Linked DNA regions of Drosophila melanogaster. The protein of the gene in region 1 interacts with the protein of each later gene in a pairwise test. Each region holds a gene or a part of one and is shown in the gene's direction. Other genes may lie near its edges. The genes, in order: CG17292, CG31792 and IPIP.

The links.
Region 2: the proteins of CG17292 (region 1) and CG31792 interact in a two-hybrid assay, tested with the Drosophila melanogaster proteins (one large-scale study listed by BioGRID).
Region 3: the proteins of CG17292 (region 1) and IPIP interact in a two-hybrid assay, tested with the Drosophila melanogaster proteins (one large-scale study listed by BioGRID).

Annotation. Positions count from the first base shown.
Region 1 is NT_033779.5:8,368,796-8,374,799, forward strand, and holds CG17292 (uncharacterized protein), read left to right. Parts: upstream 1-1,658; 5' UTR 1,659-1,846; exon of another isoform or gene 1,847-2,452; intron 2,453-3,662; 5' UTR 3,663-3,802; coding exon 3,803-3,830; intron 3,831-3,891; coding exon 3,892-3,958; intron 3,959-4,085; coding exon 4,086-4,493; intron 4,494-4,744; coding exon 4,745-5,119; intron 5,120-5,188; coding exon 5,189-5,333; 3' UTR 5,334-5,455; downstream 5,456-6,004. Other genes in the region: Pp2A-29B (protein phosphatase 2A at 29B), read left to right, coding at 1-235, 428-604, 921-925; Wdr82 (WD repeat domain 82), read left to right, coding at 5,732-6,004.
Region 2 is NT_033779.5:18,995,709-19,003,325, forward strand, and holds CG31792 (uncharacterized protein), read left to right. Parts: upstream 1-1,739; 5' UTR 1,740-1,871; intron 1,872-2,242; 5' UTR 2,243-2,270; coding exon 2,271-2,347; intron 2,348-2,415; coding exon 2,416-2,501; intron 2,502-2,571; coding exon 2,572-2,880; intron 2,881-2,949; coding exon 2,950-3,158; intron 3,159-3,212; coding exon 3,213-4,792; intron 4,793-4,856; coding exon 4,857-5,326; intron 5,327-5,385; coding exon 5,386-5,651; intron 5,652-5,713; coding exon 5,714-6,643; intron 6,644-6,702; coding exon 6,703-6,747; 3' UTR 6,748-7,005; downstream 7,006-7,617. Other genes in the region: CG10650 (uncharacterized protein), read right to left, coding at 1-4, 71-146.
Region 3 is NT_033779.5:6,045,935-6,050,988, forward strand, and holds IPIP (inositol phosphatase interacting protein), read left to right. Parts: upstream 1-2,067; 5' UTR 2,068-2,175; coding exon of another isoform or gene 2,176-2,709; exon of another isoform or gene 2,710-2,759; 5' UTR 2,760-2,942; coding exon 2,943-3,003; intron 3,004-3,076; coding exon 3,077-3,412; intron 3,413-3,479; coding exon 3,480-3,698; intron 3,699-4,139; coding exon 4,140-4,414; 3' UTR 4,415-4,504; downstream 4,505-5,054. Other genes in the region: slmo (slowmo), read right to left, coding at 1,119-1,766; CG34179 (uncharacterized protein), read right to left, coding at 1,805-1,846, 2,200-2,709.

The DNA of each region.
Region 1 (6,004 bases):
GTCTGCGGCACAGATATCACCACCAAGTTGCTGCTGCCCACAGTTCTCCTGCTTGCCGCTGATCCCGTTGCCAATGTTCGTTTCAACGTGGCAAAGACCCTGCAGAAGATCTCGCCCTTCCTGGAGGCCAGCGTCATTGATGCCCAAGTAAAGCCCACACTCGACAAACTGAACACAGACACAGATGTGGATGTCAAGCATTTTGCTGCACAGGCCATTGCCGGCATAGCTGCAGGTAAGCAATAAACAGTCTAATATAAACAAGGTTAGCGTTTGACAGGGATAGAAAGGGTCTAACTTATAGAACAATATATAACATTATTCATTATCACAAGTTTTAAGGCATGCAGGGAATCTGAGAGTTACACAAATTCATAAATTGTCAGTTAGTAGTAAGACTTTAATTTTAATTAAAATCCTGCCATAGAAATGGAACTGAATGTGTTTAGAACGGCAATACCGCCGTGCATGGGCGCCAAAATTGAGGCGGCAATGGACTCAAAGCTGATAGTGGAACCGCCCCGACAGCCGGAGGCAGCTGACAATGACATTTTGCAGGAGATGAATGGCAAGGCAGCGGAGCCGCCCACGCTTGACTCGGAATGTTAGAGGATGAGTAGCCAACCACATGACGTGTGATGTGCCTCCCGCTGTCTCCAGCCAGTTCCACAAGCCAATGTGTTTAATCCTCCCCGTCATAATCGTATTCACATTTGATTGTTTGTTTGTTCAAGATAACCAGGCTAGATGTCCGATCTGATTAAAGTGCGAGTGCAGTGGATCAAATATTTAACCGATACTAATGTTGTGCCATATTTTTTTGTCTCTTTCCCGGTATCATCGCCATCACCACGTGGTTATCTCACCATTCCCCACTCTGTGTTCGTCTGCAATAATGTGTTTTGTATATTTGTTTATAGCGTAATCAACCTTCTTGCATCTTTTTTTATTCTATTTTTAAAACTGTATGTATTTAACGCCGGCAACAAAACATATTATGTAGCAACAACACTTAAGAACGGAAAATTGTAGTGGATCCCGGAAGGTGTTAAACGCTGCAGCCGATGCTGGATGAGGGATGAATGGAGCCAGGAGTCAGAGGAAGGAGAGAATCGGAGAATCAGCATGGGAGGAGACCCACTAAACGCGACACACAACTAAACATTACTACTTACATACTTATATTATATATAAATTACCATAGGCATAACGATCATTATTAAAAACATTTGTAGAGTTTGGAACATTTGATCGCATCTGAATGCAAAAATAAAATTGTAGTGAAACAATATCACACGATCTATTGAAAAGTTTAATGTGGAGCAAAATTGAATATTTAACTCCCAAAATTGTATACCAATTTCTAGGTTTCAGTTGTCAGTTCAAAGTTTGGAAATGTAATATTTTCCTTTTTATAGTTTCGTTCAAATTAAGCTTTATATACATTCTGATTATTTGGCAGGTGCATTGATTATTTATAATTTGTGAGAGGTATGGCTATGAAAAGCATAGATTATACAAACAAAATACTTGTATTTTTACATTTTAAAAATACTGTTAATTTATTTTGAAATCCTAAAATCATTCCAGCAGTAAACGATTTTGATAGCAAGCTAGACTGATATCGATAGGCGCCAAACAGACACCTGGCGATAGTTGGGGCTTCTTTTTGGTTTTTTAATTGGATGATGGTGGTGGTGGTGGTGGTGGTGGCGAGCAGTTTCTAGCGAGAGATCAGTTGGACTTTTGCGACGAAGCGATACGCTTGTTTGTTTTGCCGTTCCGCTGCGCGTTGGCCAATGTTTGCCTAACTCTCGAATCGAATTCCGAAACCGAGTGTGGACGCGTAAGTGCCATTGAATTATTCCGTCTGACGCTCGAGCGCCATCGAATCGGATGCGGCGTGGAATGTGGTGGAGTCAATGGGGGGATCAGATGCAAATTTGATTGGGCAAATGGGTGGAACCAATCAATTGTGTGTATACAATAAAACGAGGTGTTTGTGTGTGCCCAACCAAACACAGCCAAATGCGGAACATTATCAGTTTACCCACGGCTGTCGCAATCTCCGCGTCCGTTTACCGTCCACTGACCTACGATCCACCTGCCCCCGTGGACGCAACAAGTGTCCGAATATTTATAGTCTATGGGCTCTATGCATTAATTACTCGCATATGTCAAAAACGCTGAGCTGTTATTACAATTAGTGCTTCATTATTTAGCCCGATTTCCCCAAGTGGCGCGTTTCGCTAAGCGTTATTATTTTTACCTTCCGCTAAACACTTGGCGCCGATTCGATTCCCTCCTTACCCTCGAAACCAGTGATACTCCATCGTGCGACTGAGCATTATCTGACGGCTAATTTTCCCCCGATAAGCCGGAATATAAATTGAAGTGCTCTTTATTTATGTCCGCGATACAACGGCGAAATCGAGGCAAAAAAAGAAGGCCGGTACTTAAATTACCATTGCGTTGGGCAGGCAACGAGGGTCAGGGGTCTTCCATTTCGACATATATCTATGTACACATTTATAAGCATTTCTACAGTCCAACTTCCCTCAGTTAGATATGTTATGATTAGGAGGTTGACAAGAATAATAGTTGCAATATTAATTTATTAGTTTATACAAGAAAGTTTTGAGATTTCATAATCTCATTGAAGTATTTATATATTTTATTTTAAAAAGTATTTGTATTTGCTTGTGTTCTGCATTGTACTTTGTACTTTAACAATGTATGCTTAAACTGAAACACCACTTTCTAATTTAATTCAGTCCGAAAACAAATATATTCCAAGCTAAACTTTAACTTTTGTTCCCACTTAGGGACGTTGGACTGTAGCTTACAAGTGTGTTTGAATGGCATTGCTGTAATTTCAAGTCTGCATATTTAAGCACTGTAGTTTGTTCACTTAGACCTCGGGTTAAGGTAATCTCTGGCAATAGACAGTGGGCCCTGTAGCTGGTTGAACTGTCAAACATTTCACTTTTTTTATGATAGCCATATTACTAAGGTCAAAGTTACAGGGTCCGCCCATAAAAAGACTATTACTTTTTAAAAGTTAATTTTAGTGATAATAAAATGCACTTAAATAGCTAGTAAAACTGTACTTAAATAAACATGCTGTATTAGTCTATATATAATTAAACCCATCATATTAATGGATCAATAATAGTTACGGCGATCTTTAAGTTTGTAACTTTCAACGGGAAAACTTTGTAATTATTCAGCTCACTCCTGTTGAGGAAACTCATTATGTTGCAATTTTAATTGATCGTGGTGATTTGGAAATAAGTAGACTGGCTGGCGACAAAGCTTTTATTTTTATGGCATTCATTCAATCACCATTGAATTAGTCCTCAAGTGCATAATGGGATTAGCGTTCGATTAAACTTGTTCAGCCGATAGAAGTGGATGAATAATAATGCGGAGATTTGGAATGTTCCGAAATCGGATGTTCCACCGTAGGAGCACATGAATGATGCATGGACAGGCAAAGGCTTGGACTCCCACACGGACTTTGCCGCCGTTGGGGCGGCACACTCGTGTGAATCACGATGCTTACGATGTCGCAAGGCTTTTTTTGGCCGAACTCACCATTACTATCTTATCCGAAAAAGATTGAAATTTAATTAGAGTTATCAATTTCAATGGGGGTTTAGGCCACGCCACATTAATCCGGCCAACCGAGTGCCCGGCCCAGTCTTTGCCAATCACCGCATGGGACCAGAGGATATCCGGACAATCCACTGGCCACGTAATCAATCACTTTATGGACTAATAGCCGACAGCCCACAGAAACATGCACAAGGCCATTAAAAACAAATCCAGTAAGTAAGTGTGCGAAAATGGAAAATTCCGCTAATACAATTTGGATAATTATTAAACCAGGGCTCCTCTGCGGACTCAAGAACTCCAAGGCGGATCTAACGACAGCCAAGTTTATACTATATTATGGGTAAGAACTAATATTATTATTAGTAAATATGAAGAAAAATTATACATAAAGCCATGTTATTGCACTAATATCCAAATTTCTTAAATATATTCAAGTATTCACCTATAGCATTATCTTTTATTCACAGACCCACGGTGGCAGATAGCGATATCTATGACCTAACCGATTTCCAGAGTCTTCTGGAGGACGAGCACTTGGATTTGGGCAAGAACACCGTGCTCTATTTGCACGGCTACTTGGAAGATCCGGATGTGGAGAGCATTCACGTCATAGCCGAGGCCTATCTGGAGCGAAAGGATACCAATCTTATCGTCCTAGACTGGGGTGAACTGGCCGATGGCAATTACATGTTCGATGCCTTCCCGAACCTCAAACAGCTGGGCCCAGAGTTGGCCAAGGTCCTGCTCAAAATGTTCGACCATGGCCTGGACATTGAGAAGTTCCACATTGTCGGACACTCGATGGGCGGCCAGCTGGCCGGACTCCTCGGCCGAGAGATTACTAAACGCACCAAGGGTGTCAGAAAGATAAAAAGGTAAAATGAAAGAGGTTTGATTTCAAATTATTTATTCATGCTCGGTTCGATTTTAGTCTATGCCGACGTCATGATATACGATGTTTAATATACGATATTTAGTTAATAATTTTAATGTCCAAAGCTTAACACTTTTGTATTACCATATGGTAATACAAAAAGTTTTTTTTTAGAATCGTTGTTCGGCAAAGTTTATAAAGTTTATATTGAATCCTTTTCTTGTCTCACTTATCTCCAATCTTCTTTTATAGAATTTCCGCTTTGGATCCCGCATTTCCGCTCTTCTATCCGGGCACGCACCTGTCTGCCAATGATGCGGAGTTCGTCGACGTGATACACACGGACGCCTGGCTGTACGGAGCTCCGACGAGCACGGGCACGGCGGATTTCTGGCCAAATGGTGGATACAGCCTGCAGCCTGGCTGTCCCAAGCGAAACTACAAGATGCTCAGCGACAACGATCTGTCCAGTCATCGGAGGAGCTGGTGGTTCTGGGCCGAGAGCGTTTCGGATCGATATCCCATTGGATTCGATGCTGTGCCCGCCAAGAAATGGTCGGACTTCAAGCAGAACAAAATAGTAGAGAATTGCCCGCCCGTGGTGATGGGTCATCATTGTCCCACGACGTAAGTTTCTACTTGCCTTATATGCATAGCGCAGAATTTAGTTTCATCATTTGAAATTGTGATTTTCAGAATTCATGGCGACTTTTACTTACAAACCAACGGACATACACCTTTTGCTCGAGGCAAGGAGGGCACTGTCTACGTTGACCCCAAGGATCTGCTGGGAAATACCCACAGCATCACCTGTGACTGCCCGTCGGAGAAAACGAATTAATAAGACCATCTACAATTGCACTGTGTACATTATGAAATGTAGCTATATTAATATTGTTGTTTCTATGACGCCTTACACCACATTTTGATTTACGAGAAAAATATACTTAAATTTTGTTGTTGAAAAAAACTTTGCATTACTTTGGGGTATTTATACATTATTATTGCACTATTTGGGGTTTTAAATGAGTTTTATTAATTACTTTTTTTGAATGGATTTTTTGAACTTTCAAATAATTTAAATCTGGTTGCTGGTTCCGCTCTTGCAATTCATTCCGGAACCAGTTCGAAAGTTGCGATATCGATAACACAGCTATCGACCCGTCAACCTCTGCCACCGATAACATTGTTTGCAACAATTGAGCATATTGACAACAAAACGAAATTCGACAGGCTAAAATGAAGATAAAACTAATAGATTCGGTGGTGCGCAGTTTTAAGGTGGCCAAGATCTTCCGAGAGAACACGGACAAGATCAACGCCATCGATTTTGCGCCCAACGGCGAACATCTAATATCCTGCAGCGAGGATGACCAGATCGTGATCTACGACTGCGAAAAGGGGACGCAGTCGCGCACGGTGAACTCGAAGAAGTATGGAGTGGATTTAATCCACTTTACGCACGCCAACAACACGGCCATCCATAGCTCCACCAAGGTGGACGACACCATA
Region 2 (7,617 bases), about 11 Mb from region 1:
CACTCTGCAATGGCAATAATAATTTGAAGTAAGTCATTTGAAAAAACTCATCCAAAATGTGGTAACCTACGGAGGGCTGAGGTGCTGTCCAGCTGGCTGGCAATGAAAGCTGCTATCACAATCATACACAGGCTGTATTCTCTCATGGCTCTCGGTTTTCTATTCTTTCTGGCTTCTCAACTGAAATGTCGGACCGGCTGGATCGACCACCGTTTTTTAACTGGCTCCCTCACTGTTTGGCCATATTTTTTTTACCCCCATTCGCATAATCAATTTCACCTGAACTCACTAACACCTGCCAAGCTCTTCTCCGCATGCAGTGGTTATCTGCTCTACACACATATATATGTTTGTATACATATATATATATATATATATATATATGTACAATCGGAGGAAGTCAGTTCTCTTTTAGCTGATAACTTCAATACCCAGGTGTAAATGTGCAAGTGTGTGTGTGTACAACGCTGTTCACATGCGATGATAGTTACCACAAGCCTGCATTTACTTTGGAGCTTTTGCAAAAGCTGAAAAATTAACCCATGCTGCCAACGTTCTTACCGTATTTCCTTAAACGAATATACATCAACAGTAACTTCCTGTTTCCGATCTAGCCGGCGGATAATTGAACACAATTATAACGATAATTAAATACTTTAATTAAAATTTGGTTTGCCTTGGCTGTACGGCAGTTATATGATATATTTTCTTTTGATTTTCATCAAATTAAAATATGGTCAAAAACTGTTGTATATCTCATACATATATTAATACTTACCATTATTTTTCGATTATCCCTATAACAGCAATATGATATAGTGGTCCAACCTATATGTATACTAACTGAAATTGAACGAAGACAAACATGACTGTATCGACTCTACTGTTGAATATACGAATCTGAATGAAATCAATGTACCATTTGCAAGGGTATAAAAATAAAAGGCGCCACCAAAAACTGCATGAATAATCTCAATTTCCAGATTTTACAGGTTCGACAAACTTTCCATTTGATTATGGATTGACTATAGTTCCATTGATAAAAAAAATAATGTAATTTGAACTAACAAGAAAGAACTCAATTCCTATCAGATACCCAGATTTAATTGAATAAATACACATTTGTAGGGTCAAAAACACTTTCTTGTTTCATAGTTTTTAACCCTTATATTCTACGAGGAAAGTGTACAATTATATATGTAAAGCTGTATTGCCCAATTTTCTGGCTAATAACATATAAACAATGTGCCTTAACTACAAGTCATATATCTTAACGATACTTGAGGATTGAAGTGAGACTTTTGTTTATATGTGAACGTTCGTTCTCAAGTTTATAATTTCGGTTACTCGTTCTTGAACTTATGTGTTTGCTTTTAAGTTTTTTTTTTTTTTATCGTTCGTTCCTAATTTAATATCGAAACTTAATTTTTCTCTCAGTGTCTTAATAAAAATTATTATTATTTATTGTATTTGGGCGACTTCTTAAATTCTGCACATGCCGGTGTTTTATGTTATTAAGGTTTAAGTTGAAGTCTAGACAAAATGATTCAATAAAACAAAGTACAAATAGTAAGTACATACTTTTATATCTTTTTATCTTTAGCATATCATTTAAGGTTTTTTTGAACCAGACTGGTATTCAACATAAAGCCATTATCTTCAAAAAATATAACCGAAATCTAATCTGGGTTATCTCCGGCGAATTTAGCACCGAGAGCTAATCATGTTGCTCACACTCAGTACCTTTAAGATCTTTTCTACGCGCGGACGTATTGCTGTTTAGTTGAATTTCTGGCATTGCAATTTAATAAATTAGTTCGTTGGAAAGCATGTTATACGTTGAAAAGTGCAAGTGACTTCAAGCCTAGAAGGTATAAATATTTTTGATCATTCGATCCGACTATGTCTGTCCATATAAGCGTCGAGATCTCGGAAACCTACGTCAACAAATTACAAAAAGCTTTAGATTCTTGGTAACGACTTCTTTGCAGAAGACCAAAAATGCTGGTCATTATATTATAGTAGAAGTTCAAGATTTTAAAGTGCCAGTGACGTTGAAGGCGTGTGGAATAAATTTTACCTGAGTAGCAGGTATCTGATAGTCGGGTAGCTCGACAATCGTATTCTGTCCCATTTTAGACAAGCTGTTTAATGGCTAATTACTTATTGATTAGAAAATCATTAATTCAAATTTATTTCTTGCTGTCTGGATTGTTTCACTTGCATAATATTTGTTATGTAGCGAAACATAACGTAGTAATCGTAATAAAATGCAGTCCTTTAAGAATGAAGATCTCCCGGAGAATCCTCGAGAACGATCGAATATTTTTTCTGCGTTATCCTTTTGGTAAGATAGTGCAAACGTGCGACGCCAACATATTTTTCAAGTGTGAACAATTTTTTCAAATAATTCAGGTATACCATTCCCACTTTTATTAAGGGGCAAAAGGTCACATTGGGTGCAAAGGACCTTTACAGGGCCTTGAAAGAGCATAGGGCCGGTAAGTGTTTTTGGTGTATATATAATAATATTTTCATATATACATCCTCATATCTCTATTTTGTGCAAAGAGTCGCTCGGCAACAAATTATGCTCTTCCTGGGCGAATGAACTGGAGACCAACAAGAAGAACGCCAGTTTGCTCAGAGTACTCTTTCGTGTTTTTGGTCGGTACTTCGTCTTCCTCGGATTGGTTCTCTTCTGCCTGGAGGTTATACTCACGGTGCAGCCCATGTTTCTCATGAAGCTTATATCCAGCTTTTCCAATCCTAGCCCAACATCCAATGGAGTGGCATATGCCTACGCGGGCGGAGTGATTTTAGGCTCTGCACTCAAAGTGATCCTTATGAACCCGTACTCATTCGCCGTGACTCACCTGGGTGTGTTCCTTACTTATTGATGTTGCTCAAAGCGTTTTGTAAATTAGTTTTCTAATCCGTAAACTGCAGGCCTTAAGATTCGAGTGGGTGTGAGCAGCATGATCTACCGGAAATGCCTTCGATTGACCAAAACAGACCTGGGCGAAATATCTACCGGACATATAATCAATTTAATTTCCAATGACCTTGGCAGAATGGACACCTTTATTCAGTTTACCCACTATCTTTGGTTGGCCCCACTGCAAGCGCTAATGGTAACCTATTTGATGTACCAAGAGGTGGGGTCCGAGAAATTCATATGGGATATGTAAAAACCTTAGTTTGTTTAATAGATTGGAATCGCTGCCGTGTTTGGCATGACCTTTATACTGCTCTTCATACCCCTTCAAATGTATTTGGGCAAAAAGATCTCTGGGCTGCGACTGAAGACAGCTATCCGGTCGGACAAACGGATGCGGATAATGACCGAGATCATCGCTGGCATTCAGGTGATTAAAATGTACGCTTGGGAGCTGCCGTTTGAGAAAATGGTGGCCCATGCCCGCCACAAGGAGATCAACTCCATCCGGCACGTGGCCTATGCGAAATGCCTCATTTGGTCCTTCAACAGATTCCTGACTCCAGTATCCATATTCCTGAGTTTGGTAGGATTTGTGCTAATGGGCAGGTTCCTTACAGCGGAAGTGGCCTTTCTCATCACAGCCTATTACAATGTTGTACGCACCAACATGACAGCATATTTTTCAGTGGGTGTGACGCAAACTGCAGAAACCCTCGTGTCCATTAAGCGGGTTCAGAAGCTTTTGCTATCCGGCGAGGTAGTGGCGAAGGATGAAAATGTAGTTTCCAACGGGGCTGAGGAAGATCTTCAGGAGGCCAGGGAAAAACTCTTAGTGACTCCCACACCAATGCGTGCTCCCGAGAAGCCTCCACACAATTCGGAAGATTGCGTATCCATAAGTGAACTAAAAGCCAAGTGGACCACGAACTCGCCCGATTACACGCTAAGTGGGGTAAATCTGCAGGTCCACGCTGGTGCATTGGTCGCCATTGTGGGTCACACCGGCTCCGGAAAATCCAGTCTGATACAAGCCATTTTGGGTGAACTGCGTGTCGAGTCGGGAGAGATCGAGGTTACTGGATCGATGTCATATGCCTCGCAAGAGCCGTGGCTTTTCTCCGGCACCGTGCGTCAGAATATTCTTTTTGGTCAGCCAATGGATCGTCGGCGATACGATTTAGTGGTGAGGAAATGCGCGTTGGAACGAGATTTTGAGCTACTTCCCTTGAAGGATAAAACCATATTGGGAGATCGCGGAGCATCGCTCTCGGGTGGCCAAAAGGCGAGAATCAGCTTGGCAAGATCTGTTTATCGGGATGCGTCCATCTATCTGCTGGATGATCCTCTGAGTGCCGTAGACTCCAGCGTGGCCCGTCGACTCTTCGAAGAGTGCTTGCGTGGCCATCTGCGAGATAAGATTGTCATCCTGGTCACCCATCAGTTGCAGTTCCTGCAGCAGGCCGACCAGATTGTGATCATGGAAATGGGCAAGGTAAAGGCTGTGGGAACGTATGAGTCGCTTCACAAATCGGGTTTAGACTTTGGCATCGTGCTGGATGATCCTGTCAATGACAATGAGGCGGCGGAGGACCGATCAAGAACCTCCAGTATCACGGACCAACGGCGCAGCAGTGTGAAATCTGTACTCTCCCATGCGGAATCCTGTCCAGAGGATGTAGGGGAGGAACAAAAGATTAACCTACAGCGGCAGCAACTGGGTCGCAACGGCTTAGGAGTGTACGTCGATTATTTTAGGGCAGGAGGCGGATTCCTCTCCTTTTCTGTGGTAATGACCTTTTTCGTGTGCTCCCAGGGCCTAGCCTCTCTTGGAGATTACTTTCTGTCCCCATGGTAAGGTGTCGTTTACTTTGTCACTTTCGAAATCATTTAAAATTCGTAATCCCTATGCTTTTAGGGTCTCAAGAAATGAGAAAATGGTAGCTCATAACTACACAACAGATGCTAAGGATGCGGACTTCGAAATGCACGCTGCGTACATATATATGTTGATTACAGTGCTATCCATTATGGTGACCATAAAACGATCCTTTCTGTTCTTCAACTTGGCAATGAGGGCCTCTATCCAGTTGCATAACTCAATGTTTCGAGGGATCTCCAGAGCTTCCATGTACTTTTTCAACAAGAACCCTGCGGGAAGTATCCTTAATCGGTTCTCTAAGGACATGGGTCAAGTGGATGAGATGCTGCCCACCATAATAATGACCGTCATCCAAGACTTTCTCCTGTTTGGCGGCAATATTATTGTCATAGCCATTGTCAATCCCCTCTTTCTCATACCAGCACTGGCTTTTGGAATAGTTATATACTACCTGCGTTCCTTTTATCTCAAAACTTCGCTGGATGTAAAACGCTTGGAGGCCAGTAGTAAGTGCCTAATGACCAACTAATTACCACTTGGCTAAAACTTTCTTAACTTTTGACAGCTCGATCTCCGGTTTACTCACATTTCGCTGCTTCTCTTAATGGCCTTTCCACCATTCGTGCATTTGGGGCCGGAAGCATTCTGGAGGCGGAATTCGATGGCTACCAAGATATGCACAGTTCCGCCTCCTACATGTTCATTAGCACCTCGCGAGCCTTCGCCTATTGGATGGATATATTCTGTGTGCTCTTTATAGCGATGATCACGCTGTCCTTCTTCATCTTTCCACCATCTAGTGCAGCCGATGTTGGCCTGGCTATAACACAGGTATACGACCGGAAGCACATTCACATATGTCTGATTTTTAATATAATTTCCATTTATTCAAGGCCATGGGCTTGACGGGCACGGTTCAGTGGACTGTCCGCCAGTCGGCAGAGTTGGAAAACACAATGATTTCCGTGGAGCGGATGATTGAATACGAGGAAATAGAGCCAGAGGGACCACTGGAAGCCACGGCTGACAAAAAACCACATGAATCTTGGCCAGAGCAAGGAAAAATAGAATTTGTAGAGCTGAGTCTGCGTTACGAGCCGTATCTGAAATCGGAAAGCGTTCTAAAGTCCCTCAGTTTTGTAATAAAGCCCAAGGAAAAGGTTGGCATCGTGGGACGAACCGGAGCCGGCAAATCCTCGCTGATTAACGCTCTATTCCGCCTGTCCTACAACGATGGATCTGTGCGCATAGACGATAAGGATACCAATGATATGGGTCTACATGACCTGCGCAGCAAGATCTCAATCATACCCCAGGAACCAGTTCTGTTCTCCGGCACAGTGCGACACAACTTGGATCCCTTCGACGAGTATAGCGATGACAGGCTGTGGTGCGCGCTGGAGGAGGTGGAACTCAAGGATGTGGTGGCCAGTGTGGCCACTGGCCTGGAGACCAAAATCACAGAGGGTGGCTCCAACTTTAGCGTGGGCCAGCGCCAATTGGTGTGCCTGGCACGAGCTATTCTGCGCGACAACAGAATACTTGTGATGGACGAGGCGACGGCCAATGTGGATCCCCAGACGGACGCTCTGATCCAAGCCACAATTCGAAACAAGTTCAGGGAGTGCACCGTCCTTACCGTGGCCCATAGATTGCACACCATCATGGACTCGGACCGTGTACTGGTGATGGATGCTGGAAGAGTTGTGGAATTCGGGACGCCCTATGAGCTTTTAACTGCCGATGATACTAATGCCTTCCAAGACCTGGTCAAGCAGACGGGTCAGGCAACATACGACACTCTCCTGAAGATTTCTCAACGGGTAAGAGTAGGCATCTGTAAACGAATTCATACATATATTTATAAAATTTCCTTTTTTAGGAATTCGAAAAATCTGAAAAACCGAGCCTTATGCTTCCCTCTTGACGAGCCGAAATCGCTAATGAATAATTAATATCTCCCCAATATTACTCCATTGAAGCTTTCACACTTTCAGTTCGGAAATTGATTTTTTGCACATTAAATATATATAAAAACCCTATTGTTTTGATCATAGCTGCAATATTGGAATACGTTATAGAAATTATATTTATTAGATGTGTACATGAGTACGTGTTATCACAGCTGACAGGCGCGATAAGGACAAGAGTAGTACTTGTAGACTTAATGAGGTTTTCCTCATTTAGTGATATGATGAATAAGATATCTATGGAATTTCCATTTGTGGTGGGGCAAGCTTAGAAAGCCAATCATTTAAATTGAAAATAATTTATTGCACTAAACTTCAAGAGAATAGGTAAAAATGTATTGCTGATACACCTGGAAGGTGCAACCGTTGTCAATATAATATTAATAAAATTTCTAGATAGTAGAATGTGATATCTAAATTGAAGTCGATACATAAAAAGATAAATAAACAAAGTAATTACACTTTATTACATGACTAATGACATATCGGTCCGAACTCCACCCTAATGTTTCAAAAAGGTGCCTAAAATTAAATTTTTTTTAATTTAGCAAACATGAATTACATTAGTATAAATAATATGTAATACTATATTTTTATTTAAAATATAATACATTTTCAACACAATAAATACAATAGCATAGGACAGTGTAAAAAGGGCTACGATAGGATGGGAAATAAATTAGAAAGCCGTTATCTTATCTTTGAGTGGTCCACTCTAATGCTCTGAAGGCTGAAGTGACCATGTAAGTAAACATACATACCTGTGTGTGTGTATCTAAATCGGCGCGCTTTTGCACACACACACGCACGGCCCTTGCGTCAGCCGG
Region 3 (5,054 bases), 2.3 Mb from region 1:
ACGTGCGTCTTAGCTGCAAATTACGATCGTTTTGAGGCTCCAGCTCGGTTTCCCCTCATTTCGCGGCTCAATCCACCACAGCGTTCGGTTGGCCAGTGCTGCACAGCGACTGCCGCTGGAATTCAAATTAACCCTTAGGCGAATTGAGCTTTAAAAGCTTTCGTAAATTGTACCCATTGCGTAACTTGCAAGGGTTAATGCTACACGGGTTCAATGAACCAAATAGTTTAATTGTAATTCGTAAGGATTACTTGTTTATTTTGATTAAAAGCTTACGAAAACTGCTAAATAAATAAGTTACTTCTTTTGATAAGTTAGGTAAAAGTATTTCACCTTGTCCCTAGAACACCTGCTGTTTGATCATCAACTTGTTTCCAAGCACCCACTTTCCCCTTCAATCACATTCTTCGCAACTGTTGAACCAGATAAGGGACATATCAGTTTCCATGTCTGCGATGCTAACTAGGTACACAGTTGTTGAGCCACTAGGCACGTGGGCTTTTGATGATAAGCGAATAAAACAGACGCCAAAAATCGCTAATCAAGTATGTATGTAGAGAAAAAACCCACAAATCGACTTTCTTGGGTTTTATTTATACACAGAATGCTTAAAATTGCTGCAGTTGCACATGCGAACGTCATGCAAATGCAAAAAAAAAAGACGCAGTACAAGTGTGCTGCGAATTAAAATTAAACAATTGAACTTGACACTGGCTGGTCGTAGGCAAATATGTCGTTTAATTGCTCCTCTCGTTCTTCGAAATCTGCGGCGGCTTACAAAGCTTACATTGACTATGTACTTTAGGTTTATATATATATTGATCTGCATGAATGGGGGCCAGCATTAGCGCGAGTTCCTTCCAGTTCAGCCATTCGGGGGCACTTCTTTATCGACATGACTCATTAGCAGTCGATTCGTTCGAAGGGGAGTAATAATTATAAAATATATGCATTGAATGGCTTGAGAATAGAGGAAGGTGTTGCTGTCCCACATGTTGCTGTCCATGTCCATCGTGCCATCGATTAATTAGTTGTACTAAAACGACGACCGCGCGCCATCTAAATAATTCACTAGTGAACAGCCCCCGCGCGACCTTGCACTGTCGCCTTGTCGACACCTACGTAATGTGCATCGCCTTCGCCGCCTTGGCGGCCTGCGCACTGATCTCGTCCATGCTCTTCCGCGCGCTCTCCGTCACCTCGTCGATGGAGCGCCGTGTGTTGTGCAGAAGTTCGTCGGTGCCGCGAGCGATGCCCTTGACCTCCGTGTTGATCAGCCCGATCACCCACTCCAGGCCCTGGCGTCCCTTGCCGGCATTTGTGCTAATGGTCGAGGTGAGCAGGTCCTCCATGTAGTGGGACAGCGGCACACCAAAGACGGTCACGGTGGCCTCCTGCTTGAGCAGCGTCTTGCTGGCATCCGACGGATGCGGCTCATAGTAGAGCACCTCGTCCACGCTGATGTTGCGGCAGAAGGTGAGGTTGTTTGTCTTCAGCACCATCTGTTTGCGCTCCGGGTCCACCGTGGAGCGTTCGCTGGCGAAACAAGTTTTGGCCGTGCCGATCAGCGCGTGCGTCCACTTGGGGAAGTACCACTTGGACTGCACCAGGCGATGCGTGTGCAGGACGCCGTCCACCACACGGCGCTCGACCACGTCCGTGCCAATGATGGAGGGCGTCATCGGATTGGGGTACTTGCGCCACGCCGCCTGCGTGACCGTCTCCCACGGGTGGTTGAATATGTGCTCCGATGTCCAGATTTTCATTATGCAAGCGCCGTTGTCGTCACCGTCCGGGGAGGGCTTTATATCCTTAATTGGCAGCCGAGATGCGGGCTGAGCTGAGCCTGCGGGGGCAGACGGAACGGAATTAAACAGGGGGAGCGTTAGCTGAAGTACACGACTCGAATTTTGACGGCAATCTCGGAATTATTGAATATTTCCGAGACAAGTTACGAGAGCTGACCTTTACTCGTGCTGTGCTGCTAGAGATGACAGTGGCTCCGATAGATGGGGCTATCGCTGGCCAGTGCATGGGCTAGGGTGGTCACACTGGCGCAGTAAGAGAAAATGAAAGTGCCGCAGGCACCCTGTAGCGGTAACTTATTTATTAAATTTATAAACTAAATTAATTCTAAAAGTAATGGCGGCACTTTGACATTGCACGTGCAGCTTCCTATTGCGGCCCGAAGGTACGTACGTATTTCTCGTAGGGCCGTTTATCCAATCGCTGTAGTCGGCTCTCCACGAGCTCCCGAAAGTTGTGTATTACCTCGGCATCCGCCTCGATTAGTTTCCTCTCCTCGTTGATGATCTCGGCCAGCTGCTCGTCACTGTCCGCCGCCGCCCGACGTGACACCGAGCCCTCCAGACGAGTGCTGATCTGGTTGACTATCTTCTCGCTCTCGTAGTCCATTATCTTGGCCAGCGCCTTGGCCGGCGTGCGCCGCGCATAGCGTGACTCGGGTATGGTGGGGGCATCCAGGTACGACTCCTCCTGCACCGCCAGCGTGTGCGGCTCCTGCTGTTGCGCGTCTTGCTTCAGCTCCTCATTTGTGTACTCAATGAATTCCTGCAGGGAGGGCTCATCGGGATGCGTTTCGCTGAGCGTGGAGTTGTTTTGAAAATTGGTCAGGTGGAATGTGCCATTGGTGTCGTAGAACTTGTAGCCCAGCATCTCCAGCGCGATTTCCGTGAGTAAGTACGACATTTCGCAGGATTCAAAATTCGTTTATGTTTGCAATCTACATTGAAAACTAGAAATTCCGCACCCAGCAATCGATAACCGGTGGAGGTGTGGCAGCACTGGCCATCAGCTGTTCGCGCAGCGTCAATTGTTTCTCGCTTTGCATTTTTTTTACCTGTTCATCACAATAATAAGAGACGAAAGGCGGAAATAGGACACCCATATTTGCTTCGAATGCAGCCCGAGACAGTGCAGCCATGAAGATCAACGAGAAGAACCTGTACGTGTTCGCGAGAACGCCGCCCTTCGACATGGAAGGTATGCAAGCGAGCCCTTTCGCTCGTCTATTAATAATCATAATCCATTTATCACACACCGATACGCCTTGCAGGCTTCCTCAACAAACGGGGCGAGGTCAACAAGGCCTTCCAGCGACGCTACTTCGTGCTGAAAGGCAACCTGCTCTTCTACTTCGAGTCGCGCTTGGACAAGGAGCCCTTGGGCCTCATCATTGTCGAGGGCTGCACCATTGAGCTGTCTAACGAGGTGGACAACTACTGCTTCGAGATCGCCTTCAACGGCAATCGCACCTACATCCTCGCCGCCGAAAACCAAGACAGCATGGAGACGTGGATGAAGGCGCTAACATGCGCCGGCTACGAGTATAAGCGCATCATCCTGGCCGAGCTAAAACGCCAGTTGCAAGAGATGGAGGACGCAAGAAACAGTGAGACTGCACAATGGCTAATCCTACAATCCCTGTGCACTAATCCGCTGCGTTCTTTAACCTACAGAGATGCTCGGCAGCGCCTTGGACGGACCACAAAATGCATCGGAGAGTGCGAAGCCTAGACCGCCGCCCAGGCGGACAAATCCATTCAACAGACCCGCTCCTCCTCCACCAGACAGTTCGCTGAGGGGCGGAGTAGTCATGTCGCCCCTGCCATTTATCAACGGATACTTCGGATCGAGCAACGCGCGCCTGCAGCAGGAGAAGCTAATGAGCAAGCAAGGTATGAACACGTACTCTTAAAATGGATGTACAATGCTGTGGGTATAGTAATGCAAAAATTAACTGAACGGAAGTGACCAAATTGAAAGACGAAATGAATCACCATGTTCGGGGCTTTGAGTTTTAAAAGCTAATTTTAAGTGGGAAACTTGGCCAATAGATAACCGCAGAACTACAACTTTGCCTAAATACAATCATACGGCATTTTTCGGCCCCAAAGCCAGCTGTTTGTTTGTCCCAATACAATGTGAGTCTACCGTTAGTAGAAGCTAGAGATAAGAGCAGAGTGCTCTCAGTATAATCCGAACTTCGATTGCCAGCTTATCGTTGCCATTTACCCAGAGCCGATCTAATTTAGTCAGCGGAATGCCACTAAGCGACATTCTCTGCAAAATCTGTTGCATATTCCCAAAGCCAGGCTACAGGCACTTTCTACTTGCAGACGCAAACGGAAACGGAAGCCCCAGCGGAACGCCCAGGGCCCAGCGCCGTCCCACGCCCGCTCCTGCCATCGCGAACAGCGTCTTCTATCCCGATGTCCGGGATCCGGGAGCGGCCAACAATAATCACAGCACCGTCAACGGTGCTGAGCGCCAGCGTCGCCAGGTCAAAGCACTGGAGGAGTTCGCACGCAACCACGAGCGCTTTCGCAGGGAACTGATGCCGGATGTGTCCGCTTACCGCGAGCGCCAGGGTCAGCCGCTCATCCAGTTGTGATGTAGGAGTGGGCTGCTCCGACAAAAAGCCAATGTATTACCCGTTTTGTGCTAAATCAAATACGTTTCAAATGAACTATGCTTAATTTCCATACATGTTTGTTTCAATAAACAAAACTTTAGATATAACAAATTTCGGCGATCATGGCGCACTCAGTTATGTGGGCATACTAATAATTGGGTTTTTTAGGTTATTTGTTAGAATTGAAGGACTAAGTTGGTTTTAAAGTTAAACATAATGTTGGGATTACTCAAATGGATAACTTAAAGAAACCTAATTTTTGGATGACAAAGTTCTACATATGAAAGAACAAAACTTTTTTTGTCCAAATGAATAGACCACATATTAATTGTTATTTAGAACATAATATTTTTTAAAAATTCGATAGACACAAAACCCAGTGTGAACGGCGAAAATAATCGATAACTGCTAAGAAAACAAAAACATCGACGTTGGTTGCTTTGTGGAAACATCGATAATCGCGAGCAGCCATCGATACATGTTCCAGCTCTGTAACCTAGCGTTGTTGTTTGTAATTTAGCTGTGAAAAGTAATTAAGCCGCACACAGAACTGTAAGTTCACCCGCTAGATAAATATATTTGAGTAAAAGAACACAACCCGAAATGGTTAAAAGACTGC